Rhinolophus ferrumequinum: one gene and its partners. The protein of the gene in region 1 purifies or fractionates together with the protein of each later gene. This does not show direct contact. Links are inferred from orthologs where the notes say so. Each region holds a gene or a part of one and is shown in the gene's direction. Other genes may lie near its edges.

Evidence for each region.
Region 2: the proteins of NFKB2 (region 1) and FBXW7 purify together in Homo sapiens (affinity purification with mass spectrometry; 7 studies listed by BioGRID and IntAct, with this or other methods). This does not show direct contact. The link is inferred for Rhinolophus ferrumequinum from reciprocal best matches to the Homo sapiens genes NFKB2 and FBXW7.
Region 3: the proteins of NFKB2 (region 1) and NFKBIA purify together in Homo sapiens (affinity purification with mass spectrometry; 6 studies listed by BioGRID and IntAct, counting the BioPlex papers as one, with this or other methods). This does not show direct contact. The link is inferred for Rhinolophus ferrumequinum from reciprocal best matches to the Homo sapiens genes NFKB2 and NFKBIA.
Region 4: the proteins of NFKB2 (region 1) and MAP3K14 purify together in Homo sapiens (affinity purification with mass spectrometry; 6 studies listed by BioGRID and IntAct, with this or other methods). This does not show direct contact. The link is inferred for Rhinolophus ferrumequinum from reciprocal best matches to the Homo sapiens genes NFKB2 and MAP3K14.

What each region holds. Positions count from the first base shown.
Region 1 is NC_046299.1:22,620,385-22,627,561, reverse strand, and holds the start of NFKB2 (nuclear factor NF-kappa-B p100 subunit), read left to right. Parts: upstream 1-4,176; 5' UTR 4,177-4,297; intron 4,298-5,610; 5' UTR 5,611-5,678; coding exon 5,679-5,699; intron 5,700-5,980; coding exon 5,981-6,062; intron 6,063-6,178; coding exon 6,179-6,219; intron 6,220-6,479; coding exon 6,480-6,578; intron 6,579-6,657; coding exon 6,658-6,809; intron 6,810-7,071; coding exon 7,072-7,177. UniProt on the Homo sapiens protein: NF-kappa-B is a pleiotropic transcription factor present in almost all cell types and is the endpoint of a series of signal transduction events that are initiated by a vast array of stimuli related to many biological processes such as inflammation, immunity, differentiation, cell growth, tumorigenesis and apoptosis.
Region 2 is NC_046301.1:23,865,096-23,872,705, reverse strand, and holds the start of FBXW7 (F-box/WD repeat-containing protein 7), read left to right. Parts: upstream 1-4,597; 5' UTR 4,598-4,766; coding exon 4,767-4,919; intron 4,920-7,610. UniProt on the Homo sapiens protein: Substrate recognition component of a SCF (SKP1-CUL1-F-box protein) E3 ubiquitin-protein ligase complex which mediates the ubiquitination and subsequent proteasomal degradation of target proteins.
Region 3 is NC_046289.1:83,503,406-83,510,506, reverse strand, and holds NFKBIA (NF-kappa-B inhibitor alpha), read left to right. Parts: upstream 1-4,081; 5' UTR 4,082-4,205; coding exon 4,206-4,432; intron 4,433-5,013; coding exon 5,014-5,122; intron 5,123-5,451; coding exon 5,452-5,662; intron 5,663-5,946; coding exon 5,947-6,035; intron 6,036-6,163; coding exon 6,164-6,424; intron 6,425-6,749; coding exon 6,750-6,797; 3' UTR 6,798-6,889; downstream 6,890-7,101. UniProt on the Homo sapiens protein: Inhibits the activity of dimeric NF-kappa-B/REL complexes by trapping REL (RELA/p65 and NFKB1/p50) dimers in the cytoplasm by masking their nuclear localization signals.
Region 4 is NC_046304.1:40,065,704-40,073,512, reverse strand, and holds the start of MAP3K14 (mitogen-activated protein kinase kinase kinase 14), read left to right. Parts: upstream 1-4,802; 5' UTR 4,803-4,920; intron 4,921-7,809.

The sequences.
Region 1 (7,177 bases):
TGGGAAGAATTAATTACTAGGTAAGTTTTGGGGGAGTTGAAAGTTGTACGTGGATTTTTGACTGGGGGGGCATCAGTGCCTCTAAACCCCTGCATTGTTCAGAGGTCAACTGTACAGAATTAGCTACAATGGACAGCATTGCTAGGAACAACAGAAAAATGTGGCTATTCCAGCTCTCAGTATATACCTTTGCTTAGGGCTCACCACTTAGGAGACAAATGGCCTTGAGGAAGCAGAACCCCCCCTCAGTTCCTGGGCTTCAGTTGAGAAGGAACTTTAGTTCAGGTAAACAGTTTATCACCCCCTCCTTGAAATACTCTTCACTGGTTTCTGAGATACTGGCCATGCCTTTTCAATTTCTTTTGTTTTCTCTTCCTCATCTCCACAGCCTCTGAACATGAGCACGCCTCAGGGCCCAGCTCTTGTCCTCAAGTCCTTTCTCTCTACTCAATTGCTGGGTAACATCCACAGTCAAGACTTTAAATACCATCCATTGCACTGACTTTATGTCCAACCACCCACATCATCTCCACTTGCATGCCTCATAGGCTCTCAAACATAACAAACTTCAAAGGAAAAATTCTTGATTACCCCCGCTAGGAATCTGCTCTTCTCCCAGTCTGCCCCATGTCACTAAAGGACAACTCAACCCCCTCTTTTCTCACATCCTACATCCAATTCCTCAGCAAGTAGTGTTGCTTTTATCTTTCAAATTTATGCAGAATGTGAATACTACGTCCCACCATCCTCACCTACTACCACCCAAGTCTAAGCCACTACTGGTCTACCGATCTCCCTCTTATATTCTAGTCCCATGATCTGTGTGCTGTCCACACAGCAGCCAAAATGGGCCTTTTTAAAACGTCATATCATTTTCACTCCATTGCTCAAGTGGCTTTCCATCTCATTCAGAATAAAATGCAAAGTTCTTACTTTATCCCACTTACCTAACCTTGCTTTTCTTCAAATATGCCAAACACATTCGTATCAGATCTTTACACTGCTAGTCCCTTCACCGGGAATGCTCTTCCCCCAGATATTCACACAACTCATTCCCTCAACTTTTTTCACGTCACTGTTCAAATGTTATCAGAAAAGCCTGCCCTGTCTGCTACGTATGAAACCCTTGTCACTCTTGACCCCCTCCCCTTGCCCACTTTTTCTCCATCATACTGATCACCCTCCCCTTGCCCACTTTTTCTCCATCATACTGATCACCAACTGACATACATTCATTTGACTTTTATCTGCAAACAAAGACACTGATTTCTAGAGTAGGCCCTCACTATTCATTGGTGAATGAAGACAGTGAATTTATGGTGTGTCTGCTTTGGGCCAGGTGCAGTGCTAGCCTTAGGTACAGAAACAGATAATCATTCGGTTGGAAATTAGTGAACAAACAATGGGTTTTCTAAGCCCAGATAGATGAGGCTATAGAAACTGACTATAAACTTTGAGTCAGTCAAAATTTCCAGGTCAACATCAAGAATTGTTGGAGTTGATTGATGGGTACATGGGGGTTTATTATACTCTTCTCTCCATTCTTTATATGTCTGAAATTTTCTATAATAAAGGCTTTTTTAAAATCTTCAGATAAATGAATTATAGTTCAGAATCTTATAACTAAAATAGCTAAACCTTAGGGGTGCTTTTAGAAACGTGGAAACTAGAAAAATTCATGCCAATTTGAGCTGGTGGTTTATGAGCATTTTAAAGGGACAGTCGTGATCAACGGTGATCAGCACAGGTTCACTAAGTTAGAATATTCCAAACTAAGCTCCCATTTTATTTATTTTTTCAATTACATTCTACATTCAACATTATATTAGTTTCATACGTACAGCATAGTGGTTAGACATTTATATAATTTACAAAGTGATCCCCCTGATTAGTCTAGTACCCATCTGACACCATACACAGTTATTACAATATTATTGACTCTATTCCCTATGCTGTACTTTACATCCCCATGACTATTATGTAACTACCAATTTGTACTTCTTAATCCCTTCACCTTTTTTACCTAGTCCCCCCACCCCTCTCCCATCTGGCAACCATCAGTTCTCTGTATCTATGAGTCTGTCTCTGTTTTGTTTTATTATTTATTCTGTTCTTTAGATTCCACATATAAGTGAGATCATATGGTATTTGTCTTTCTCTGTCTATTTCACTAAGCATAATACCCTCTAGATCCATCCATGTTATCACAAATGGTAATATTTCATTTTTTATGGCGAGTAATATTCCATTATACATATATATACCACATCTTTACCCAATCCTCTATCGAGGGGAATTAGGTTGCTTCCATATTTTAGCTATTATAAATAGCACTGCAGTGAACATAGGTGTGCATGTATCTTTTCAAATTAGTGTTTTGGATTTCATCAGATAAATACCCAGAAGTAGAATTGCTGGGTCATGAAGTAATTCTATTTTTAATTTTTTAAGGAACCTCCTCTCTGTTTCCCACAATGGCTGCACCAATTTGCAATCCCACTAACAGTGTACGAGGGTTCCCTTTTCTCCACATCCTCACCAACATTTGTTGGTGGATTTATTGATGATGGCCATTCTGACAGGTGTGAGGTGATAGCTCATTGTGGTTTTAAATTGCATTTCTCTGATGATTAGTGACTTTGAGCATCTTTTCATGTCTGTTGGCCATTTGTACTCGTATGTTCTCTGGAGAAACGTCTATGCAGGTCCTCTGCCCATTTTAAAATTTAACCTTCCATTTTAATTTAAGGGTTAAGGAACTGATTTACCAGGGGAATGTCGTAGACAGTATCCCTGGATTTTAGCAAATTGTTTGATGGTATCTTATGATAATCACTTGAAAGGCCCACAGTTGGGTGGAAAGGCCTGCTTTATTTTATATGAATTTCTGGGGAAAGCTTCATCCCAGAGCTAACAGACTGGGTTTGAATTCTCACTCTGTCCCTTTCTAGCTAGAGGTGTTACTTCACCTCTCTGAGACTTAATTACTTCATCAGTAAAGAAAGGTAATATTTACCTTCTAGGGTTGTTGGGAGGAAGAACAAGAACTTACACTGAAGTACCTTAACATAGTACCTGGCACATTCCATTTGTGGGCAAGATGAAGAGGAAGGGGAAGTAATAGGAAATAGCCCAAATCAAGGGCCATAATAGTCTCCCTTTATGCATAGCTAGTGCAGGCCTGTAAGTCCATTATTTAGAAGGTCAGGAGGCAGTTGCAGGAAAGATCCGAAACAACAAACAGTCTGTGTTCCACTGTGAGCCCAATGTAGGACTCCAGGAATGGAGATTACTCATGGCACCTTCTAAAGAGAAATTCTACCAACCAGAGATGTCCGGCCTGGGAGTCAGTACTTTGTGAAAGTGACCTTGCTGCCACTAGAAGTGTGAGGCATACTTTGGGAACTATATAAAAGGCAATTTCCTACATCAGAGGAAGTTTGAACTATTAAGATTGTGGATGTCTTTTTAACTCTTAACATTCCAAATCTCCGTGATGGATGAGCACAGCCTGAGTCTCTCAGATAAACACCTTATTTCCCTCCCAGCACGGAGCTCCTGAGCTTAGGTCTTAAAATCTGGCCCTCAGTAAACCTGCCGTTGATAGAATAAGTTTAGGTCCAGATGGTCTTTTCCAGGGGACAAAGAGTTAGAGACTGAGTAAAAGGATTACGCGGTCTCCTTGCGGCTCCAAAGGGGGGCCGCCAGATGGCACCCTGGGACCGACTGAAAGATCAGTTTCCTTCCTCTTCCCCTAACTTCCCGGCAACGGGGCCCCGCTCCGGGCGGGGGACAGGAGGACTTGGGCCGGTCGGTCAGCTTCCCCCTGGGGTTCCCCAATTCCAGAGGTGGCCAAGCGTTAGGCGCAGCGTAAGCCGAGTAGCAGCGGGGCTGCCAGCCGTCTGAGGCAGGCCTGAGTGGGTGAGGAGACTGGAGTCGGGGCGTCGACAGGGGGATGGTGCTCGCTCAGCGGATCCCGCCTGGGACTGGTCCCCCCACCAGAGCCCACGCCTGGCTGACCGTCATACCCACTCCCGATTCCCCGCGCTGCGCGAATATTTGCCCCCTAAGGGGAGCGCCTGAGTCGCTCCGGATTGGTTGTGCGCGTCGGGAGTTAAACTTTCAGCCAATGAAAAAGGGCATGGGGCGTGACGCACGGCAACGTCACGGGAATTCCCCCCTCCCGGGGGCGGTAAAGGGGCTTTCCCCACTAGAGCGCTGGTGGCTGGAGAGGTGTCGCGACCCGTCCCAGGTGGGTCGGGCCGGGAGCTAAGCCGGAACCGGAGCCGCCGCCGCGGTGAGTGGCCGGGTTCAGACCCCTGGGTGGCCAGGACTCTGGGAAGGGCGGGAGGAGTGTGTCCTAAACTGAGGGAGACTCAGAGCTGGAGAAAGCATATGCACACACACAGAGAGCACGCACACGAACAAGACACCCGGATACACATCGACATCCTTGTACAAAACACGCGGACTTGTACGTAAGCCGGCGAGTGTACAGTCCATCACTCAAACTCGCACACAAATGCACACGCAAACACGCTCACCCGTGCACAGGTGAGCCTGGACCCATACCCTTCACGCACAAACTCAAATATATGCTCACCTGCGCCTCTACATATCAAGATATGCTCAGACATGTGTACACACTGAGACTTTTAAGGACACTCACCTGTACACAGACATGCTCAGCTGCACACGCATGTTGACGCCATGCACACACAACACGCACGCAAGCACATGAGCTGACTCACACTTGTATACCTGTGATGGAGACACACAAGTATTACAAACGGCTTTGGGACTGGGGCAGGGGCGTGGGCACCCAAAACTCATGTGGCGTGGGAGTCAACGGCTATCGAGGTGTTTCGAGGAGAGGGAACAGAGGAACCCATCCCAAGGAGGAGACACCTTTCCTCCCCTAGCTCCGCGGCCCAAGAGACTGGTTCTCGGGGCAGAACCCCTGGGCCCCTCGCTGGGAAGAGCCCCCGCCTACAGGCCTTCGGGGAGGCGGCCTTCCTACAGCAGGAATGTCCCCCCAAAAGCCCCCGGGGTGAATCAGCCGTGGCCTCCCTCAGGGTAGAAAATCCCAAGGTTACTCCAGGATGGGGGAGGTGAAAGGGGCGGGAGGTAGGACTGGCCCGGGGCTTGGAGCCTCTCCCAGCCGTGAAAGACCTTCCGGTCCCCGACCCCTGCTCTGCAGTGAGGAGAGGGGCCCAACCCTCACGGGGGCTTCGCTAGGTCTGGTTGCCCCTCTGCCCACAGACAAGCTGCGAGTGTCCACAGGCCAGCGCCGCCAACCTGGCGCCCCTCCCGCCGCGGGGGCGTGGCCAGTGGCGTCATTTCCAGGCCCGCCCCCTCCGGCCCCGCCTCCCCCCTGGTATTTTCGGGACTTTCCTAAGCTGTTCTAACTTTCCTGCCCCTTCCCCGGCCCGGCCCAGCCCAGCTCCCGATCTCGCGCTCCACCGGATCTCGTCCGCCACACCCGGACGGGTGGCTGGAGGAGATCCGACCCTCCTCCAAATCTGGGCCCCCCTCTCCTCTCTACTCCGGTCCTGATCTGTCTTTCCCGCCCCCCTGCCACTTCCCCCCACCCCCCAACCCCGACCCAAGGCGGGCGACTGAAACTGGGAAAGAGAACCCGGCCGGAGTCGCCACACAGTCGGGCCTAGCCCAGAGACATGGAGAGTTGCTACGACCCAGTGAGTCACTCCGCCTGGCCCCAAACCCGGCTGGCTGACCCCCTGTGTTTGTCTGGTTGTCTGCGGGTCTGTCGGAGTCCCCTCTGCTCCCCTACACCTGTAGTACCTTCACTTTATCTCAGCCTGCCTGTTGGTCTGTCTGCAAAACTGCTTCCAATGGGACCTCTCTTATGGACCTGGGGAGGAGAGGGGGTGATTACTGAGGGCTTAGAGAGCTGGGAGGTGGAGGACTCTGGGGGTGGCTCCGAATCAGCTGCCATCCCATTCTGTCTCCAAACCAGGATCTGGATGGCATCATTGAATACGATGATTTCAAATTCAACCCATCCATTGTGGAGCCCAAGGAGCCAGCCCTAGACACAGGTTGATAAGTCCTCTGACCTCCCCTGGTCTTAGAGGGAGGGGGAGGGAGGAGTATGTGCCCTCTGCCTTGGGGATGGGTCAGAGAGCCGGGATCAGCAAGGCCCCTCTGTCCCCAGCTGATGGACCATACCTGGTGATTGTGGAACAGCCTAAGCAGGTGAGTGAGGTGGAAGGGATGGTGTGGGATGGCTTCAGCTTTGAGGGCAGATGGGGTAGTTGTAGCTGGGTGGCCCTGGGGAGGGTCACTGACCACAGAAGCCACGTTGCGTTGGGATGGTTGTCCGCTGCTGAATCAGTAGTGTGGTTGTGGTTCAGGACAGGCACTACCAGTCATTATGGTCACTGCTGGCAGGGGGTATGGCTGGCTGGGGGGGGGGGCCTCCTGGTCACAATGTCACTCTGCCCTGGAATCTTCAGCGAGGCTTCCGATTTCGATATGGCTGTGAAGGCCCCTCCCATGGAGGACTGCCAGGTGCCTCTAGTGAGAAGGGCCGGAAAACGTATCCCACTGTCAAGGTGAGCAAGGGTGGTGCTTGAGGGTGGGCTAGTGGACAGTGTGTCCAGGGGCATTACTGACAGCCCTCACCCCTCCTAGATCTGTAACTACGAGGGACCAGCCAAGATCGAGGTGGACCTGGTAACGCACAGTGACCCACCTCGTGCTCACGCCCACAGCCTGGTGGGCAAGCAGTGCTCGGAACTGGGGGTCTGCGCCGTGTCTGTGGGGCCCAAGGACATGACTGCCCAGTAGGTGTCCCCCACCCCGGCCCCCCCAGTGGTATGCCCCCTCATTGCCTGCCAGTCCTAGGCCCCAGCCCACCTCTCTGAACTTAGCGTCTGACCAAGGGGAAAGACTTAGGTTGGCCCTAGAACCCAAGGCTCCAAGTAAAAACCAGAAAAGCTTCCTAGAGGAAGTAGGGCTGTGCTGAGCCTGGGCAGTGGGGTGGGGGGGGTGCCTCAGGAAGAAAGAACTGTCTGCAAGATCCCTGACTCCCCCTCCCTCACCCAGATTTAACAACCTGGGTGTCCTGCATGTGACCAAGAAGAACATGATGGAGATCATGATACAAAAACTTCAGAGGCAGCGACTCCGCTCCAGGCCTCAGGGCCTTACC
Region 2 (7,610 bases), on another chromosome or scaffold:
ATAAAAGACAAATACAGCAATATTGGTAATATCTTGAATAGTTGTTGAATATGGGTGACAAGTAGATATGTAGGAATTCATTATACTCTTCTCTCTACTTTCCTATATAATTAAAATTTTTCGTTTAAAAAATTGAATTTTTTATTCATTTACCACAAGTTTTGCTGTTGTTGTTCCTCTCTCAATATTTAAAAAAATATTCTTAAAGCTTTAAAAATATTACTTATATTCTTAATAAGAAAATGAGGCATTTCCTGGCCATTTTGTCCTTCCTTCTGATTTTTTTTTTCCTCCTTAGCAGTTATCACCGTCTACTATAGTAAATATTTATTTTGTTTGTTGTGTGTCTTCTTCTCCCCCTGGAATAAACAAGTTCAGTGAAGGCAGGGGGATTTTTATCTGTTTTGTGTGTTGGTCCATCTTCATTACCTATATAACACATGGTAGGTGTGAGTAAATAGTTGAATAAGTGAATAAACGAATGAATGGGAACCAGAGCTCTTGAAAAACTGAGGACATGGGATTTGGCCAAGGACAGAACCAAGGAGAACCCCCTTGAAAATTAACCCTTTGGGACTTACCGAAGAAAATGTCGGCTAGTACTTACAAATTTAGGGGGTTAGATGCCATCTCTCCCTCATGGGACTGTAAAGCCTTAAAATATCAAACTTTCAACATAGTCTCAGCAGTAGGAATCGCTATAAAATAATTCAATTATACTGTAATTTCTCTGATTGTCTTTCATATAGTCTTAAAAGTTTTTCTTCCCTAATCATCTCTTTACTACTGAAAGGCAATCCCTTTTGGAGATGTCTTTTATTTAAAGTTTATGTATTCTCATGAAAAAAATTTTTTTTAAAACAATTGATTTTGTATAGGCAAGATGAATTTTAGAAACTGTTCTTACGGTTTCTTTTTATATTAAAAATATATAATCTTGCATTTTTCCTTTTCCCAACAACTGATTTTTTTTTTTTCAAGCTATATGTGTTTGCCAGCTAAATTTTAATGTCTTACTGCATGGACATCATAATTAGCAGTTATCTATTATACATCTTTTAAAAAAATAGATGTTAGTTTTCAACAGTACTGTGAGACACAGCTGGTAATAATTATACTCAATAATTAAGATGACTGAAAGTTGAATATTAAAATGACATCAGTGAAAATTCAGAAGCATTTTATATTTGATATTCTAAAGTGAATGCTTTTAGAATCATTGCTTTTAAAATTACTGAAGTTGTTTTTATAACCCCAAACTGTAAGCCTTGAATTAAGGAAAAATGTGAACAGAAATATCTAGTGAGTCTCAGTTTATTTGGCTTGGGACCCCTTTACATTCTTAAAAAACTATTGAAGACCTCAAAGAGCTTTGATTTATTTGGGTTATATCTCTCAATAGTTACCCTATTAGAAAGTAAAACTAAATTTTAAAAGTGTTCATTTATTAAATTCAATTAAAAGTAATAGCTAATTACATGTTAACACAATTAACATATTTTTTTTGGAAATAGCCATATTTTCCTGAAGTGAAATAATTAATGAGAAAGATGACATTGTTTTACATCTCTGCAAGTATCTTTGAAGTCTGGCTTAATGGAAGAAAGTTGAATTCTCATATTGGCTTATGCATTCAAGTCTCTATATATGATATGTCGTCTGAGGAAAACTTACTAGTGTGTACTCGAGACATGGATAGTGAAAAACACAATTAACATCTTAATATTATGAAAATAATTTTGATCTCGTAGACTCCATGTAATGGTCTCAGGGATCCCAAAGATTCATATTTTGAGAACTGCTAGAATTATTTCTCACGGGGATACTATATATGGCAGTAAAGAGTTTTAAATGAAAGAATAGTTTTAAAAAATACTCTCATATAGTAGTGTCCATTGGGTAAGTTTCTATTTGATACATTTTACTTTAGGGTAACTATTGAAGTTAGCTTGTGCTTACTTTATAAATTTGGGCATTGAGGGAGGATGGTCTGGTTTGTAAATTATACATCTTTTAGAGTGCCTTGTAGAATGGTTACCTTATTTCTCAGAGAAGTAGAAATTAATTAAATAGAAATAGATTGTTAAATTTTTGAAACAAGTTTTTGATATTTAGAGTTACTTAAAATTAAGGCGAAAAGCACAACTTTAAAATGCAGTTTATTTAAAAAATAATGTTGCTTCATTGTTATTGGTGAGCAAATATTAGTATTGTCTCTTTTTAAAAGTATCTATAGCTAGACTATTAAAGTTAAATATTAACCGTTTTTCCTAAACAATATTATGTTTCTTTTTCTGATAGTTTTTAAGGCTTTATTTTTATTGGTTTGCTGCCTTCTTCTATCTGTATGAATCAATAGTACATTAAATTAGTTGACACGGAAGGAAAAATAATATGTAATGAAAATAGCCCTTATTGCTTCCATTCTATTTTAATTATAACTAATATAAGATCCAGAGGGTATTGGTAGGAGGATGAGAGGGGTGAAGCATTACATGTCTAGTTATTTCACAAGTAATCTATACTTTGGGTCTTTTATTTCATAGTTTTGTTTAAAAACAACATTGATGCTGAGTAGCTAGCAATTCATAGCAAAATGCATTTGGTGGGGATTTTTATTGATGCTTGTCTGTAATATTAGGCGCAATGATTTATTTATAGGCTTTTGTTAATTATAAAGGTAATAAAAATCTCAAATTATTTGGGCATGTTATACATTTGTCGATAATAGAAATCATAGGAGGTTTTAATGCTCAGTACATTGTTCTACGTTAGGATGTTGTAGTAATGTTTTCATTACCTCTCTTGGCTTCCCAGTCTCGCACATTAGCTAGGAGGAGTGTGCATCAGCTGTAATAAGACCTTTCCCCAGTGTGTCTGACATGCATCTGAAAATATGACAGATTCTAGATTTTAGAAGTTCTGTTGTTAAATCGTATAAGCAACTTAAACTGATAGTACTTCGCATTTTCCACATAATGTGCTCTTTCGATGAATAGCTGTGAAGCAGCACGCAGGAAAAGCGGTTCTTGGCAATACCAGCTCAGTTGCATCTGCAGATGAGGATTTAAAATTCTATGCAGCAGACAGTACCTCCAGCAGGCGAGTAAAAGGTTACTGCATTATTTTGCTTGTTTGTTTCCACAGCCTTTATCTACAACAGGTTTTTTTAAAAAATTCAATGTGAAGTGCATGCCTGTTTTTAGATATTCTGGAAATTGATTTAAGTATAACATGATATCAAAAGGGCAGTGCAAGGTGAAGGAAGAGGCAATACTGGCTCTTTTTAGCTTTAAACCAAGGAAGAAATTGAGCGTGAGGCATGTACAAATAAAGAACCTTTCAATGCCACAGAACACAGGAAGTTTTTAAAATATACATTTTAATTCAAGGTGTTTCTTATTACATTTAGTTTTTAGACTATCTTCCTCAAAAAAGGGTCCTGTTAAAAAAGATTGATAATCGTAGGTCTGTGAATATTCACTAAGTTACAATTATTTGAAGTATGATTATTTGGGAAGACTATAACATATTTGTATTAATGTGACCCTCTCTTGTCCTGGAAATTATAATGTGGATTATAGTTACATGGTGTAAATAAATGCCTTTACACAGTATTGACAAAAAAGGATGCTTCAGTATAAAATATACTACAGTATGGCTAACATACTTAATACTTTTGCTTATATTTTTAGGGTGGTTTATATTTTTTGAATCTTTTTGATGAGATGCAAATAACCCAAGTTGGAGAAGATTCAGTGTCAAAACAACCAGATTTTTAATGGCTTTTCACTTATTATCAATACCTACCTATAGCCACAAGCCCTTTTTTTTCCTCATTAAAACTCTTCTAACATTTATGATGTCAGGGGACTCCTTGGCTTATCATTATCTATACCACTATTTTTACTGTAGAACTTTATTGCTCCATATTTCTCCAGCCTAAGTACAATATTCAGAGAGAATTTTTGCTATGCATATCAACGACCATCCTGCCCCCTCCCAGCAATACTCATAGATTTTTAATAGCTACTGTATAAATTTTGTTTTTTAAAAATTCTTATGCCTATGTTTCTGTGTTTTAGATTGACTTAATAAGATTGAAAATGATCCTGTAAATTAATCTATAATATACAAGTAAAATCAGTTGATTATTCTTACTGTGAGTGCTTGGCAGGCTTCTTGAATCGTGGAGTCATAAAAGGTCAGCAGTTCTGATTGGTAAGTTAAAGAATCCGTCCAGTAATTTGCTCCCTGTTGTTTCTCAGAGCAATGCAGCAGCAGTTCTTTTCCAGATATTGAGCGGTTCTTGAACAGTGTGTATGGGGACAGGGAGGGGTGGGGCTCATTCCTGTTGGTTGTTGAAATAGTGAGCATTTACAGAGGGAACAGGTTGGATAGGCTGAGCTAAAGGAGTAGGCAAACAGATCTAAACTGATGGAGGACAGAAAAAGTGGTTAGTATAATTTTGGGGTATATTATCTTGAGTTTGCTCCTTTGTTAAGGACTTGGGTTTTAATATAACACAGTTTGAAATATTAAAGCACCTTACCTTCTTTCTAAAGAGTAGCCGGGAGACTTCTGTTTTTAGTATCGAGTTCTTCTTGGCGATGAGTTTGTGGCTGGTACCTTCTGTAGGGAAGCTGTTTTATTCTTTTTTAACAGTGTTTCTTTCAGCCAGAGAGCTGCAGAATGAGGCATTTAGCCAATTTTGAGTATATATGGGACCTCACCAGTTCTGATTTTTAAAGTTAAATCCTCATCTAATGAGCAAGTCAATGTGTGGCTGTGGCTGCAGCATTATTTCTTCTTTAATGAAGAGGTTGAACCGTTCGACCTGCTGCTCCGATCTGTTCTCTTGTAGCCATACATCAGACCAGTTGCAGAGATTATCCATCGATTGTCCCAGGCAACCAAAGGTAACTACATAGATTTATTTCAAATAAAAATATACAATTAAAATGGATGCATTATAACTAGTACCAAATGATTAAAAATAAAAGACCAATTAAAGATATTCTTAGCAGTTTTCTTGACCTTGCAGTAGCTATCCAATATCATTTTGTCATCATCAGATTGTGTAGCAATGGAAATGCACTGCAGTAATTGATTTTGTAATAGGATCAGGTGATTTACTAGCTGCACTGACAACCACTTGCTTGCTTGCTCTGAGCTGTGGAGCGCTCTAATGGATGTTGTGATTGTAGCCTGGACTGGATGTGAGACTGCTAGCTACTTAAAGCAGCAGCACTTATTTTAAAAATTAGAAAGTAAGCTTTCCTTTTTCGTTTTCTTTGCTTTAGGTTTTGGGAGGCCTCAATAATTTTAGTTAATTTGAGTACCCCCGTGAACTTTTAGAGATTATATGTTATTTCATTCATCAATTCATAAAAAGTTCATTGGTACTAGTAGCCTTGAAAATAATGAAATACAATCTCTCTGCTCCCTACTCCTCGCTCAGCAGCAACAGATGTATCAACATATCTTGAAAATATAAGAATTTTTTTTAGCTACCGTATATTATCTAAATGAAACAAAATATTCTTAACATTTGCAAACTTCATCAGTTTCAAACTCTTGCTGTAAATATAATAATGGAATTATGGTAAATTCTTACACTAGTCGGTTGTGTTAGAATTGTTTTGTATCTTTTTGGCCTTTTGCATTCTTAATGGTTTCATGGATATAACAAGATTTAGGAAATCTGAGTTGGACCAATTCTAAGGAATATTGATGAAAACATATAGTAGCTATTTTATGAGACTGACGCGCTGCCTACTGCGCTAAGGAGGCAGGTTATAGTAGCTATTTTAAAGTAATGTTTAAGAATATAGCAAAGTAAAAACTTAATCTCCAAGAGTATGAATTTTCAGTGGTTATGTTTTTAATGATCTTCGTTTTCATATTTATTCTATGCCTTTTAAACAAATAATTGATTACAAATTTAGAAGCTTAGGACTAAAGCTTAAAGTAGAATAGAATATTCTACTGTTGCAGAAAGAAAAGACTTTGTCTACATTGAATTTTTGCTGAGTGGCTTGCATTAGGAAATAAAATTATCTCCCTTCTCTCCCTTCCTCACCAACTCCTCTACCTTTCTAGTTATCTAGTATGTAAAGTGTTTTTCACAGAATCTGACACAAAAACACTGAGTTCTCTGTCCTTCCCTAATTTATGTTCTTTAACCATGTTTATGTTCTTGCCATGATAGAGACACTATTTCTTCCAACCACATCTAAAAACACTTATATAAATTAAATATGTTTATAATTTGCTATAAAAGAAATTGGGCATAAGATTACCATTATATGGTATTGAAACTACCATGTGAAAAAAGCTTTTCTTTGCAATGTATTTAAATACTTGCCCTTAGTGTTTGAGGCCTAGTGTTTCTTAAAAGATGCAAATATTACCAGTGTCATTGTGTACTTTATCCTGAATTGAGATGCTTAAAACATTAATTATGGAAGACTGTAATATGATTTAAACACTAGTGTTTGTAATCTTTTATTATTCAATAGGTAATCACTTTATGCCCCACCTCCCCCCCGCAAAAAAAAAATACAAAACTCTGAACACTGATAATACTAACATAAGTATGTTAATGTCATTTGAGATTTGGTCAAGGATGTGTCTAAATTACAAATATTATTGAAATGTTAACTGGTAGGTTATCTACAAATTAGTCACTGATAAAAGTTTCAGTAGAATGATGTACATTAAAACTTTTTTGCAACGGGTTGAGCAAATAGAAGGAAAATAAGTGAATACCAGAGTGTTGACTATTTCTTTCTTAAAGATTGTTTAGAAGAGATGGAAGATACTATGATTGTTCTGTATTTATACAGTATTTCATTTAAAATAAATAAGCAGTATACTTTGTGAAGTTCTAGCCCCAGGGAACTGCCTGTTCTTACCTTGAAAGCCTACCTGTACTTGATTCAGCCAGGCTCTGCCACTAATCTACTTGATCAGTTTTATTTATGAACATGTTTAAGGTTCCTTAAACATACTCCTAAAATGTTCATTAAAAAGAAATCAATTTGCTCATACTAGTGTGAGGTGTGGTAATAGTTGACCTGGAAGCTGTAGAAGTTGGAGTTAGGAGGAAAGATCAAATTTTTTAAAGAATCGGTCTGTAGGTGATAATGAAATGCCTCCTTTCACTTTTCTTGTCTTTTGGGGGGGCGGCATGCTTTTGCCAAGAGCGCTGTTTTATCTTTTTGATATCCAGTATTCTCTAAATAGAATGCGTATTCTGAATAATTATCCTAGTTCTTAACAGAACAAATTTGGGATTAAATTCTGGAACTGCCAATTTTCCCCATGCTCTCTAACAAAGATAATGCTATTAAACAGCTTATTTTAGTACCTAGCATATTTTTTAGTAATCATTTTTTAAAAAGGTAGCCTTTATGTTATTAATTCTAGTGCTTACTCCTTATATGGCTTACCATATTGGCTGTGTGCACTCCTCTTTGTAGCCTAGGCAAAGTGATTTTTGGGTTGATTGAATAGGTACTTTCGAGATGATCATGTCATAATAATTATAACACGTATTTATGGAACCCTTAATTTGGACCAGAGGCTATACTAAGCACTTCCATATT
Region 3 (7,101 bases), on another chromosome or scaffold:
CTTGGTTGAACTTGTTATACTAATTTTACAGTGTAGTGTTGAACAGTTCTTTGAGGGAGGGATCAAGTTTTCTTCAGGGCTTAGAGCCTCTGATTCCAACCCTGCCTGCCAGGGCAGACCACACTTCCTAGATGGACACACTCCACCCCAGCCTCCATTTACACGGAGGAGCAGAGACCCCCTGACACCACGGGAGCTGAAGGTGAGTGCCTTCTCCCAAAGCACCATGAAAACATCATACCCTGGCTGAGAAACAGGTTGTAAGATCAGGGCCTGTGGGCTCCATGTTGCCAAAAGTTGCAGAAATGCATTTTATTTGGTTTTCACAATATTTTAAAACTTGAAAATGGTCACATCAAAATCCATGTTTTGATTTTTTTTTTTCTTAACATCAGTACTGAATGCAAAGTGCTGTTTGGCAAACATTGCCTGAGCTGTGGACATGCTGTCAGGCCAACTGCTGAAGATGCCACCATTCCCTCTTGGACTCACACGGCCACCTTCACTCCTCTGTGAAACCTATCTGGCCCCTATAAGGTAAGTATTTGAGTTCGATACCCTTTAACACTTTGATCCCCATCAAAACGCAGAATTTGTAGCAAAAGATACACATAAACGCATTGACCGTCTTATTTGCAGGTCACTATGAATAAAGGTCCTGACAGCTGTTTTTCTGTGGGGAAATTCAGAGCTTGGGAGCTCAGATTCTGAGGAGGATGGATGCAGGTGGTTGCTAACCACTAGAGGTGGAAAGAAGACTGAGCCTGGGATTGGAAGCAGAATATAAATTCAGAATTTCGCAGCAGCGCGGTCCATCAGCAGTGTGTCGGACTCACTTGGCCTTCAGGACTCTGTCGCGCTCCTCTCTCTCCCAGCCTGGCTGCACTGAGTGATGGGTAGCCTTTTGCAGTTCTATATGCTGGGGCTAAAACAATTTCAATTGGCTAGGGCAACTGGCACAGGACACGCTGCCCAGGATATTAGGAAAAGCCAAATATGTTGGTCCACTTGGCTGAACTTAGAGAAGCATCTCCACATTGCCAGGCCATTGGGCACTTCAGGCCGTAGGTTCAGTCCACATTGTGCATTTCCCACCCAGGAAGAATAAATGAAGTCACACACTGGTGCTCCTTTTCCCAGAGGGGTGCGCCTGCCCACAGTGAAGCCCCTGAGCACCCCTGGCCATCCTCTCCTTCTCTATGGCTGCATTCTGCACTAAACTATAAAGCAGCTTCGGGGTTAACAGATTCATTCGTTTGCCTTCTTCTGCATTCAAAATAAAAAAGCCAAATGACATTTAAAAATTAGTTACCTAAGGTTTAACATCTTCAAAATGGTCAAGATGAGCTAAAATGTGTGACAATGAGGTGGGGAGAACCCTAAGTGCCCAGGAGTCCATAAAGGTCTTTCTAAACCAGAAATCAAAGTTTTGCTGTCTTTTTCTGGCCCTTCTGCTCATGTTTTCTGATTTCCAAGTGTGTTCTTTATTGCCCAAGTTGTAATATTTGTTGATTTCAATGTAGAGAGCTATAGATGATAGAGAGAAAACCTGTTGGATCACATTATTCAAAACTGTCTCCCAGGTTGCAGAAAAACAAAAGGTACCTCCTTGGGAATCCCCACCATAGGGACAGGTCACCAAGGCTTGGCACCTCGCCAAATTCCCAAAACCTCTGAGACAAATCAGAGAACACCTGCGCCTGACTCTTACCACCAGGAATCACACTAAACAATTGGGAATAAAGACGACTAGGTCCTTAAGGCCATCAAGAACATAAAGTCATTAAAAGAGGTACAAAGAAACTTACTCCCTAGATACTTTTACTTATGCATGATTTTTTCTTTCTTTTTATGATTTTCTTTTTTAATAATCATTTGAAACCTGCAGCTAAAAATTCTCTCCTATGGTACCCTTTTATTAGTGGGGCATCTCAAGTTCGACTTTTCTGTACTTTTTTTCTTACAGACATGAATACCCCCGATAGGGAAACATCTACCCTCTATTTTATCCAACAATTGGAGCAGAAAATACTTTGAGTATCTTCCAAATTATAACATATTCGGTCTCATTTTCAAAATGTGTCTTCAAAAGTGTTAATACCTACCACAACAGCTTTGGCCAAATGATTAATATGTTGGGACAGAAATTAGATTAACTGCCATGGGGTACCTAGGTAAATTTCTCTGCATTTCAGTTTATTTTTAGGAAAGTAGGAATATTACCTATCTTACAAGATTAGTTCTGAGAACAATGTGTTGCATAAGGTGCTGGAGTCCTTCCAAAAATATATACTGTGAATTTCCAAGAGACACGATCACTCTTAAGCAGGGGTTTATACATGCATGTGTGGCCAACTAATACAATTTTTAAGCTGGGGGAAAAAAAAACCCAAAAAGCATTAAATCCAAGCAGGTATACTACAGCAAAGTTAATTGATACCTCCAATTAAGATGCACTTAATTAGAGATAGAGCCTGGAATTGAGATCTTCTACTTATAGTCACTGTTCCACCTTGCCTGAAAACTTGTGTAGTTGTGTATCACATGCCTACAGAGACAGCAGAGTGTATCCCTGGGAAGTTTTCATTTTAGCATGTGATCATTACTACCATGAAGGTTTTATTTCTTGATTTTACTCCCCCCCCCCATATTTTGTCTGTCACCCTCACTGACCCAGATTCCCTACATTCAGATATGGGGGTGAGGGCTGAGGAGAGGGAGATTCAGAGAGGATCAAGCTTGGTAAGTACATGGCCCGGCAAGTTAAAGATGATTGCAACAACCCTCAGAAATCTGCAAAACTATGAGAGACCTCTTGGAACTAATTGTGAAGAATTGGGACCAAAGTTGCTTTGTTTTGCCGGGACCAATGCTAAGGGTCAATCAATTAACTTCACTGGATTGTTGGCTAGGAGGTGAGGGTGCAGAGGAGAGTATACATTCTATTTCTGTAGTTGAAAACAGAGGATAGTGAGCCTGGAGTGCCTACCCACATTGCATGCATGGTAAGTCCAACCGCTGCCCTCCCCCAGGACAGGAGAGCAAGGAACCAGGAGGGGCAGGATGGGGACTAGTTGGCACCCCTTGAGCTTCCTGCAGTATGCCTAGCAGCTACTTTCTTAGCCATCACTTAAGGCCCAATGTTAGGTAGTAAGTCACCACTCAACCCATTCTTCAGCGTCCTTCTCCAAATGCCTCTGGAAAGTTGCCCAGCGTGGCACCCCGAAGTAGGCTCAGGATCCATTCTCTGCAGCACCACAGTGCAATTCAGGGAGCACAACCACCTCAATAATTATTTCGTTATTGTCAAGCATCTACAACCTCTACTACCTTGCCCTACTTTTAAAAAAAAGTTCCTGTTCAGCATTTTCTCACATACAGGGGAGAGAGGGCAGAGTGCTTACCCCTCCCCAGTCACCAGGATTTTTAGTCCCGAGGAAACTAGTTGAGGGCTCTCCAAGCATTTAGGTTTTTAACGCCAAAACTTGCACACCTTCTACCTGAGGGGGCTGGGGGAGTGCTACGTGTCCCTGCACTGCAAACAGCCTGGGGTCAGCAGGCACGCAGAGGCATCCCTTCTCCCCGCCAGTGCGTTCTTCCCTGCAGACAGAAGTTTGAGGAAACGAATCCCTACACCCAGCCATCATTTCCACTCGCGTTTCCAATAGATCAAAAAAACGGAAAAGACCGGCAGGTTGGCAAACCCCAACGAGGAACCGCCCAGCAAGTCTGCATCTTTGGGATCTCTGCAGCCGAGGACCCCAAATCCAATCGATCGTGGGAAACCCCAGGGAAAGAAGGTTTCTTGCAGAGGGACAAGATTACTGAGTGCAGGCTGCAGGGAAGTACCGGGAGGGGGCCTTGTCGGGAGGACTTTCCAGCCACTCAGCGTTCATCAAAAAGTTCCCTGTGCATGACCCCAGTGGCTCATCGCTGGGAGTTTCTCTGATGAACCCTGCTTAGGGTTTAGATTGCTTTCCCTCCGCCGTAGAACGAGGCCAGTTCTCTTTTCTGGTCTGACTGGCTTGGAAATTCCCCGCGCCTGACCCCGCCCCGGAGAAATCCCCTGCCAGCGTTTATAGGGCGCCGCGGCGGCGCTGCCGAGCCCACAACAGTCCTAACCCGCCTGCGACACTGCGAAGAAGGGAGCGCGCAGCCCGCAGCCGAGCGCACCTGGGGAGCAGCGCCTGAGCAGTCACTGCGCCATGTTTCACCCCGCCGAGCACGCCCAGGACTGGGCCATGGAGGGCCCCCGGGACGCGCTCAAGAAGGAGCGGCTGCTGGACGACCGCCACGACAGCGGCCTGGACTCCATGAAGGACGAGGACTATGAGCAGATGGTGAAGGAGCTGCGGGAGATCCGCCTGGAGCCGCAGGAGGCGCCGCGCAGCGCGGAGCCCTGGAAGCAGCAGCTCACGGAGGACGGAGACTCGTAAGTGTCGCAGGCCTGGGTGACGGGGCCGGGTGGGGGCGCCGGGCCTGCAGCGCGAGCCTCGGGGCCCGCGCGATGCGGCGGTGGATCGGGGTTTATGCACCGACCCCGAGGCCGGGTAAAGCTGCATGAGGGCAGAGGATCAGGGTTCGTTCCCGGGGCCGCGGTTCCGCAGCTCGGCCTTGCAGCCGTTCACACTCCCCTGCCCGGTCCCGGTCCTCTCGGCCGGGGGCGGGGCGGCGGGGACGCGAAGTCCCCGCTTGCAGAAGGGGGGAGGGGGGAGTTTCTGCCCGACGGGCGGGCGCCGTGCCGCAGCGAGGGGAAGTACAGGGCGTTCCGGCCCGGCGGGAGGGCGGGGCGGTCTGGTCGGCGCCCGCCCGGGAGCGGGGGGGGGGGGGGGGGCCCGGAAAGTCCCTGGGCGCCTGCCAGGAACACTCAGCTCATAATAACCTCGCGGAAAACACCGCGGCCTCGGCCTTCAGAAACCCCGGCCTTGCGCAATCCCCCGCAGCCCGCGCCTCCCTGGGCCCCACGCATTGTACTCACCAGCCCTGGGGGTTTTTCCCTTCTTTTCCTCTCAGGTTCCTGCACTTAGCCATTATCCACGAGGAGAAGGCACTGACTCTGGAAGTGGTCCGCCAAGTGAAGGGAGACCTGGCCTTTCTTAACTTCCAGAACAACCTGCAGCAGGTGCGCCTCTTGCCCAGCCCCGGGCCTCTCTGACCCCGTGGTCTAGCACAGTTGCTCCCAATGCTTTATAAATTCATAGTCGTGGTCATTATCCGCTCTGACTTTTTACATCCGAATCAGCCAGCATTCTAGAAAGTAAAGAACATCCCATTAATTTGCTGTGGCCTTTATGAAGCCCACCTGGGGCCTTTGGTATTTGCTTTGTCCCTTGCACCTGTCTGGGAGCAGCAACCCCCCGCAAACTAGGGATCTAGGGGGGTTCAAGGGAACTCAGACTGTGGGTTTGGTCCGTGGCTTAATCCTCTTTCTGTTCCCTCTTCTGTTTGTAGACTCCACTCCACTTGGCTGTGATTACTAACCAGCCAGAAATTGCTGAGGCACTTCTGGAAGCTGGCTGTGATCCTGAGCTCCGAGACTTTCGAGGAAATACCCCCCTACACCTTGCCTGTGAGCAGGGCTGCCTGGCCAGTGTGGGAGTCCTGACTCAGAGCTGTGGGACCCAGCACCTCCACTCTATCCTGCAGGCCACCAACTACAATGGTACGTCTGCCTGCCCTGCCCATCAGAGGGCAGGTGACACGGGAAGGGAGAGGTGGGCCAACTTAGAGAGTCCAGGCAAGAGCTTAAACTATCAGCGTGTGATGGGTTGAGCAAACGTGTGTGTAAAAGGCCTATTTGATGCCTTTATAAAGTTCATTCAGATCTCAGATCCTGGGTTGTTCATATTCAGAAGAATTTGTCCCTTAAAAGAATAGGTGAAAGGTTTTGTTTCAGATGTGAGGATTGAAACAAGTGGTTATACTTTTTTCCTTTTGTTCTTCTAGGCCACACGTGTCTGCACTTAGCTTCTATCCATGGCTACCTGGGCATCGTGGAGCTTTTGGTGTCCTTGGGTGCTGATGTCAATGCTCAGGTGAGTGCCTCATGCCTCCAGGTGGAGGGCAGCACGCTCAGCGCCCTCCTCACAGACTTCACGTGCCCTCATTACAAGCCAAAATTCCAAATTCAGCCTAAAGCATCTCAAATTCCTTTCGGTTTCAGGAGCCGTGTAATGGCCGAACTGCCCTTCATCTCGCGGTGGACTTACAGAACCCCGACCTGGTGTCGCTCTTGTTGAAGTGTGGGGCTGATGTCAATAGAGTCACCTACCAGGGCTACTCCCCATATCAACTCACCTGGGGTCGCCCAAGCACCCGGATACAACAGCAGCTGGGCCAGCTGACCCTAGAAAACCTTCAGATGCTGCCAGAGAGTGAAGATGAAGAGAGTTACGACACCGAGTCAGAGTTCACAGAGGACGAGGTGAGTCTCAAGTTCATTCTACAAAAAGGAGTGAGATGGTCATTCTCCACCCTCCCAGGCCCCTAGAGCTACTCTTTACCCAAAGGTCTCAACATAATGAAGTTCTCAAACTTTAGTATATCCCAAGTGTGTGTCTTTTTGCCTTTTTTAAAGAAGAGCATTAAAGGAAAACTACCTCAGTCCATGAAGTTAATTTCTATTTGGGTTATAGAGAATGGAGTCCACAAATACTTGGGTTATTTCTAGTATTATGCCCTCACCATTATCCCAGCACCCCTAGCAAAAGTTTTGGAAGTTTAACATGCTTTTTTCCTCTTGTTTTTAGCTGCCATATGATGACTGTGTGTTTGGAGGCCAGCGCCTGAAATTATGAGCTTTGGAAAGTATCTGAAAGAACATGGACTTGTATATTTGTACAAAAAGAGAGTTTTATTTTTCTAAGAAAAAAAGAAAAGAAAAAAAAAATCAAAAGGGTGTACTTACAACCACACTGCCTGGCCTGAGACGTTTTACTGGGGTGGATCAGCCCTCTTTTTTGTGAACTTTGGAAGGGGGACAAGAAAGAGCATTGGAATTCAAAGAAAACCTCTTTGTAAACCTCACCATTGCGGGGTTTTTAGAGAAGGTGATCCAAAATTTGATGAAAGGACTACATTTTATTTATTGTGCTTTTTGAT
Region 4 (7,809 bases), on another chromosome or scaffold:
CCCACCTGCCCCCATCTCCCTCCACCCCCGCCAATGAGAAGCTCTGGCAGGAGACCAGACAGTGGAAGCAAATAAGAATCTTCACCCTCTCAGTCTTGACTGGTGTCCATGGATCTGATTGTGTCTCCTCCGTGGTTTCCAATTCTTCCGGTGACCATGGCCCCCAGCCACTGATTACACTGCTCCTCCGTCAGGTCCCGCCAACCCAGGCATTGGAGTGGATTCCTGGTTACCTCGCCATCTCCTGCTGGGCTCCTCAGCCCTTCCATCGTCTCTGTGCACCAATCCTTGCACTCAACTCCATGTCTAAAAACTCAGAGCGAGCTCTGATTCCGGGGTTATGCCCTGCCTGATACAGTACATCCTATCCATCCTCTCATCATCCTCACCACCTGGAATGACTCACTCTTCATCGGCAGCCACCTCTATCCACTCACTGTATGGGAAGCTCCCGAAGGGCAGGGACTGGTCCGGAAGTTCCGCACTCCCTCCCAGGACCTGACACAGTAGGGTCACATTTGTGGTTGGAGCGTCACCTCTTTGGTTGGCTGCAGATGAGAGCTGCGATAAGTTCATCTGACTAGGTGGCAATCAGTGAGCGTCCATGGAGAGAAGAGGTGGTGGGCAGAAACCCGACTGCAAGGGGTACATGCAAGGGGGAGATGAAGCAAATACCAGGAGTCCCAAGAAGTGTGGGAGTTGACAGAGTAAAAAACGGTTGGGCCAACAGTGTAAGGGAAAGCCAGGACAGGGGAAGAATCTTTTTCTTTGTCTGTTTTCAGGTTGCAGAGACTTGATCACATTTGGAGTTGAGAGGAAGAAGCTAAAGGGCGGGGGGAGTTGAAGTGCAGCAGAGGTGGGGAGCTTGGGGGTGGAACACATGACGTAAGTGGTTTCTTAGGAGGATTAAATCCGCCAGAAGGGTTAAGGATGGTGTGGACAGAGGACTGGAGGCAGGGAGGTGAGTTAAAAGGGGATAACCAATCAGGAAGTGAGAAGAATTTGAGTCAAGCTTTAACCCAGGGCTCCCTAAGAAGGCTTCAAAGTTGGGACGGGTCTCAGAAAGGTCATGTCCAGAACCTCCTCTTGGTAAGGTCAATTTTGCCCAGTGCCCCCAGAGTCCCCCACCTTGTCATCGCCATCCTTTGCAGATTTTGGCACCTCTTCTCATTATCCATGACACATGGCTCCTCCTCTTCTCTAATAGCTCTGTGGTTCACCGTGCCCCCTTCCATCTCCCCATGGTGGGCAGAATTGGTGCGGGGTCGTCAGGGTCCAGAATCTGCATGCAGTGGTGTGCTGATAAATGTTTAACAACCAGCTGGGGCGTGAGTAGCCCTGATTTATACTGTTTGCCAATTTCTATGATGTCAATACCCCCATCATATCTAATTTCAAGCCACGAACATGAAATCGTCACTGACCACAGGGAAGGGAGAGAACTCCAGCCCACCACTGCCTGAATCCATTCCCTCTCCTGCCTTCCTCGCCCCTCCATAAAACTCTAGACTGTGTGACAGCAATGGGCCAAAGAGGGTAGTGACAGTACCACAGCTGCAGCCTTGGAGAGGCCCCTGATGGGGAAAATAAAACTACCTCTCTTTCGGGAACATCTACTCCCAGCCCCCAGTCATCTTTGATCTCAGTCTCACCTCTGCGTTCTTCTCAAGTGTAACTTCAGGATCTCACAGGTATTTGGGGCCTGAGATCGACAGACACTCAGATGATTCACTAGCCACTTTCTCACTAAACCTCACTAGACACCATGAACTGTCTGGCTAAGCCAATAAAAACCAGAATATAATTTTCTTCTTTCCAAAGCAAACAGAAAAGGAAAAATGATCCAAGGATAGCATTCTTTTACTGATGTACAAAATTCACTCACTCTTCATCATTCTTCTACATAACTGATGAGCAATTGGCTCCTTGAAGCCCAAAGTCTCTTTGAAGAGTCTTATATGCAGGAGAGCAGGGGCCCTAGGGTCACATCTGGTTTGAATCCCAGGTCTCCTATGATAGCAAAGTGACCTTTGGCAAGTTATTTCTCTCTGAGCCTGTTTGCTCATCTGTGAAATGGGGATGATAATAGTACATACTCTATGGGGTTAGCCTGCAAGAGTTCTCAACTAGGGGCAATTTTTCTCCCTTGGGGATAGTTGGCAATGTCTGGAGACATATTTTGTTGTCACAACTGGGTTTGGGGGCTGATGTTCCTGGCATCTAGCAAACATAGGTCAGGAATGCTGTTAAATATCCTACAATGTATAGGACAGCCTCCAAAATGTCACTAGTGCCAGGAAACCCTGGGCTAGAGTGACTATTGAGTGAGGTTATGCACACAAAACACTTAGAAATATCTGGCTTATTTTTTGTAAGCTCTCAAAAAACAGAAGCTGCAATTCTTTTTGGAAGAGCACAGTCTTACCCTTCTATTTCCAGACTTGAACCGTTGAGGTGGGATGTGGAATCCTTGAGTGTTGAGAACCTGGCTCACGGCTCCAGATGTGAGTCACCCTGTGAATGTCGATTTATTTTTATTTAAAGCAGAGCTAAGGCTGCACAAGTGACTCAGGGCTAGAAGCATTCCCAGGTTGTCGGGACTTAACTAGCTGGGCTGGGAAGAAGTAATTTTGCCCTGAAGCTCTCCTTCCAGAAGGTGCAAGCATTCCACGACTCACAGACTCCACACTTGGTGCTTACTTGGAATGGGTGTTGCACTGTTTCTCACCTCACTCCACACATGGTAGGGCTTGGAAAGGCCTGAGAGAAGTAGCTGAAACCACAAGACCCTGCTTATCCCATATATTTTCCTCACTAATGTGTAGTGGTTTCTTCCTCCCTGGCAGCCTGATGCGAAATTCCTTCTTGGGAGTTGCAGCTTTGGGTCAACACGTTCACTCTCTCCCACTAACACACATTAGTGTTAATGGATAGATTTAAGGGCAGACAATCTTGACAGGGTAGGTGGGGGCAGGCAGGGACTCAGAGAAGTGTTAAAGGAAGCTGGGTAAAGTATATGGGCACTGGGTGTCCTAAAGAAGGTGAGAGAGAGAGAGGGCAAAGACAAGCCAGGGAGCATCTGCAGACTCTGGGCGTGTGCCCACGTCTTTCCTGAGAAGTGGTGTGCCCAGAGGCAAACAGGTGGTGGGAGAGGCAAGCCCTGCATCCAGGCTTGCTGATACCAACCTGTAACCCATCATCCGGCCAAACTCCGCCTCTCCCTGAGTCACTGAAATGAAAACCTCTGGGGTTGGAAGGAGCTTTAGGGGCTACTAGCTTCTTTCTTGCCCACCATCTTGCAAGCCGGTCAGTGGCAGAGCCAATTTATGTACCAGAGACTGTCCAGCTCCAAAGCATGGACTCTATCAGGGTCACAACCTCGAATGCTTCAGGGGCCAGGTGATATTTAAGGTTAAATGGTAGAGTGTAAGACAATAGGGGCAGGGGCTGTGAGGAACTGCAGGCTCTGTCCGAAGGCATTCAAATTCAAACTTAAAAACCACTGGACCAGCCAAATAAAATACATCTTTGGCCTGAGTAAGTGGATGAGGCCCTTAGGTTGTGAGTTTTTGACCATTGCCTAAATAAATGAATGGTCTTCCCTATCCCCCAACAAGGGAGATCTCTGTTGGTTACAGATCTCTAGAAATAGGCTTTGAACTACCAAGAACTGTCTGAAAAGTGGTCCTGAGCAGGCTTTGCTCCAACACTTCCAGCGATGAGGTGATCCTTACTTCCCAAGACAGCCTTGGATGGGGCCTACCTATCCCCACTACTAGAACCAGTTACCACATCTGCCTGCTGTGGACCGTTGATGGGGATTGGGGTGCCCAGGTAGGGGCATATCTTTCATTTTGCAAACTTACACAGTTTGGGATTTTTTTTTTTCTTTATTACAAATAAAATGCAAGCTCGCGGCAGAAACACTGGGAGATACAGATAAGCAAAAATTAGAAAAAGTATCCAAACCTCCCCTAACCACCTTTCCCCATTCAGGAAGAAGCACTATTGACACTTTGGTGCATATTTAGACTTCAGATCCTTTTTTGCATAAGGAAAGCCCTACTTTCTGGATCTGACCTGTAAACCCACTGCTTCTCCATCTGTGGAGATCTCATCAGACTCGGGTTTCGACACACAGGTCTGACCTGTGTAGGCCCTTGGCTGCCCAAGCTTCTCGAAGGCAGGCACTAAAACCTGTCTTACTCGTCCTCAGGGACTCTACAGCGCTGGGCACACAGTAAGTGCTCAATAAAAGTATTGCCAATCGTCCCTGGCCCCACTTGCCTCAGCCGCCAAGGCCTCGAATGAAGAGGAAACAGAACCTGGCCTGGGGGACCTGGCCTCGCTGTCTCCAAGGTAACCTAAGTCCGAGGCTGGAAGTGCTCACGCATGCGCACACTCACTCTTCCTTCCCGTAACCTCCAGAAGAACGCAACCCGTAAAAAAAAAAAAAAAAGAAAAGAAAAAAAAACTGCCAGAAGCCGAGCGCGCATGTGTGGTTAGACCAAACCCCAGCCGCCTCCGCCTTCTGTCAATCCGTCTGCCCAGCAGCGTCTTCACTATAAACATTGCCCGGAAATAGTGCCCATTTCTGGAAACGAGGCCTCGCTAACCAATCGTTGCTAGGGGCGGGACACGCCGGCTCATTGGTTAGATTGGGGGAGTGGGCGGGGCCAAGGGTCGAGGTGCGGCCAAAGCTAGGAGGCGCGAAGCGAGGCAAATTTGCAGCCGCCGGGGGAGGCGTGGCCCCAGGGCAGCCGGGAAGAGGATCAGGGGGCGGGGTCCGAGGCCGGGGCGTGGCGACCATGGGGCGGGGCGACCGTGGGCCCCAGAGCTCAGCGGTCGGCGACCAGCGGCGGGAGATCGTGGGCAAGGGGAGCGCGACAGTCGCTGGTTGAGGAGATCGGCGTTTGGCCGGTAGGTGACTGAGCGGGATCCCGGGGCTCGGAGCAGGGAGCACCGGGGACGGGTCGCCTCTCAGACCCGGGACGGTCTGCGGCCTGGCCCGCAGCCCCGGAATAGTGGTGGTCGGCGGCGCGGCTGGTCGGACCCACTCGCGCGCGGGCCCTCGGCCCTGGCGGCCGGCCGCCGGCGATCCCTCACTCACACTGCCAGGGCCACGGTCGCACGCCGTGCTCGCCCCGCACCCCCACAGGTGACACGCTTGCCCGAAGCGCGCGCGGGGGCGCCCTGCTTCCCTTTCCCCAACACTCCGACTCCCCTGCGCTCAGCTGCCCCCACCGCCAGGCCTGCCCCTCCTGTTGCGTTCCCTGGGTTTCCTTGGGATGGGGGCTCGCCTGGGAACCGGGCAGAAGGTGTCTAATGCATCAGTGCGCCCTTTCCATGCGTCCTCCCACCTGCCCTGGCAGTGAAACTCTCAGGCCTTTCCTGGGAAGTTCTTGGGTCACACACCCCGAGGCGGGGAGAAGGAGCAGAGCCTGCCCGTGGTGTTCAGAGGAGCAGTGCTGGCAACTCGCACCAGCCTCCTGCTTCCCCTGACTCCTCTGTAATTTTTTTTTAAACTTATTTTAAGTGTGTTTTTCCAGGACCCATCAGCTCCAAGTCAAGTAGTTGTTTCAATCTAGTTGTAGAGGGCGCAGCTCACAGTGGCCCATGTGGGGATCAAACCCGCAACCTTGTGAAGAGCATCACGCTCTAACCAACTGAGCTAAGGGACAACCCTCCTCTGTAATTCTTATGTCTGCTCCACTCTGGGCTTTATCTGTTGGCTCGGATGTAATATTCTCATCTTGGAAGCCCACAATGGCCCCTGGCAACCTGCAGCCACCGGGCACCAGGCAGAAAGAAGCCACTTGTACAGTGCAGAGTCCCACCTGCCCAGGAACCTCCTTGGTGCTGGGTAACTTCAGTAGAAGTGTTTCCTTCCTTATTAAGTGTTGCTCTGAGTCCTAAAGAATGAACTGGGAAATGAGTATGAGAGAAAGGGGAGAATGAATGGAGAAAAGGTACAGAACTCAGTGGTGTAAATGGCAAAATCACTTTTGCTAACTGGAGACAGTGAACACCAGTGACTTGATGAAGAACTCTAAAAGCAAGTGAAATGAAATGATGAGAGGTGGGGCTTGATACAAAATAGCAGTCTGAAGTTTATTCCAGGAAAAATGTTGAAAACCCCTTGACTAGAAACATGGTCGTTCTGAAACATTAGAGCGAGATAGTATCTTAACATTAGTGATGTGTTTTTTACTAAGTATCTTAGTATGTTCATACCTGTAACCTCCTTTTTCCTTTAGACGTCTGTGTGATAAGATAGCATTGTCCTGTTTTATAGATTAGGCGTCTGAGGCTGGGAGGGAGGAGGAGGTATAGATCTTGCCCAAGGCCTCATAGGTAGGACTCAGGGTGAACTTGAGCCTGGGCCACTGGAAGCTTCTTTAGGCTTCTTCCCTTGGACCAGGACCACATTCTAGGACTTTGATACAGGAAGGAAGGAATAGTGTTTGGTGCAGTATTTATGCTCTTAACGTGAGAGGACAGATGCTTGTCTTACTTACAATGTATTTGGATTCACTTTTGGTGTTTTTTTTATTTTAAGTGATGTCAAAGTCAGTTCCTTTGGTGCAGCGATGCCAGACCTCTGAGTTTCTCAGAGACACCTTTAGGACATCCTCATTTATTTTGAAGGGTGTGGTGAACTTCTCAGAAAGTCTCAAAATAAAAGTAATAGTCTCTGATTTTCATTTGAGAAATCTGTACCCAGGTATATGTCCCAGTACTTTTGTGAAATCAGACAGCAAGAAGTTGCCAAGCTTTAAGTCATCTTCGGACTGTTTTCAGATTATGAGGAGCAGTTCTGAAGGGTTTTTTTGCCCCTGGTATTGTCTGTTAGAGTTTGTGGGAGCAGCACCACAGACAAGGGACCTTGCCAAGTGAGCCTTCATCTATTAAACAAAAATGTCTGGTTGGCCGTTTCGCCTCAACAGATGGAGGTTTGCTTCCTCATTTTGGTTCTCCTGTTGAACACTGACTTCTTTGTGATCTGCTTGGAGTGTTTGTATATCATTTAATGTTGAGAAGCAGGCTTGCCCTGATTGGTTGTCCAACTCCAGGGAACTGTTGTGATTTTTTTGGTGCATGATAACAGTTCATCCTGGCCAAGGTCTGGTGAGAGATCTATAGAGATGTGAATGAGGTAAAGCTTCCCCCAGGGTTGTTTTCTTCGTTGTTGGCACCCTCTTAAGAGTGTCTTATCACTGTGGCCTGTGAAGTCACTCTGAATTTCCTATTTTTTTTCCTGTCTCAATGGACAGCACAGGAGCTTTCCTAGCAGATCTGCCTGACATGATGAAGAGCTGACAGATTCATGTTGGTTGACCTGACAGATGTTCTTTCCGGGAGGATAGTTAGGAAATCTTAAAATCAAATTCAGTCCTAAATTAAAAGTAGAGGTCAGCTTGATATACTTATAGGCAGCATATTTGTGCCAATGACTTCCATCATCTCAAAGCTGGTTTTTTTTTTTTCCTGGCAAAAGGTTAAAATGCAACTAAAATTCTGCTTTCATGATTAATAAGTCACTACCGCAGTTGTGTCTGATGCTTCCTGTTTGCCCCATTTTAGTATTTCAGTTAAACTGGAAACATCTGAGCGTTATGGGCACTTTTGACGGCACCGATGTGAAATTGGCGGGAAGGGGACCAATTCCATGTCAGTGGATTTGGGGAACTCTAAGGATCAGTCAGCCCCTCTGGCTCTGCACATCGAGAGCCCTAGGAAGGGAAAGGAATGGGGGTGCGCATCGTCAAGGGGGACGCGGGGGAGCATTCAAAGTGATGCACGTGTGAA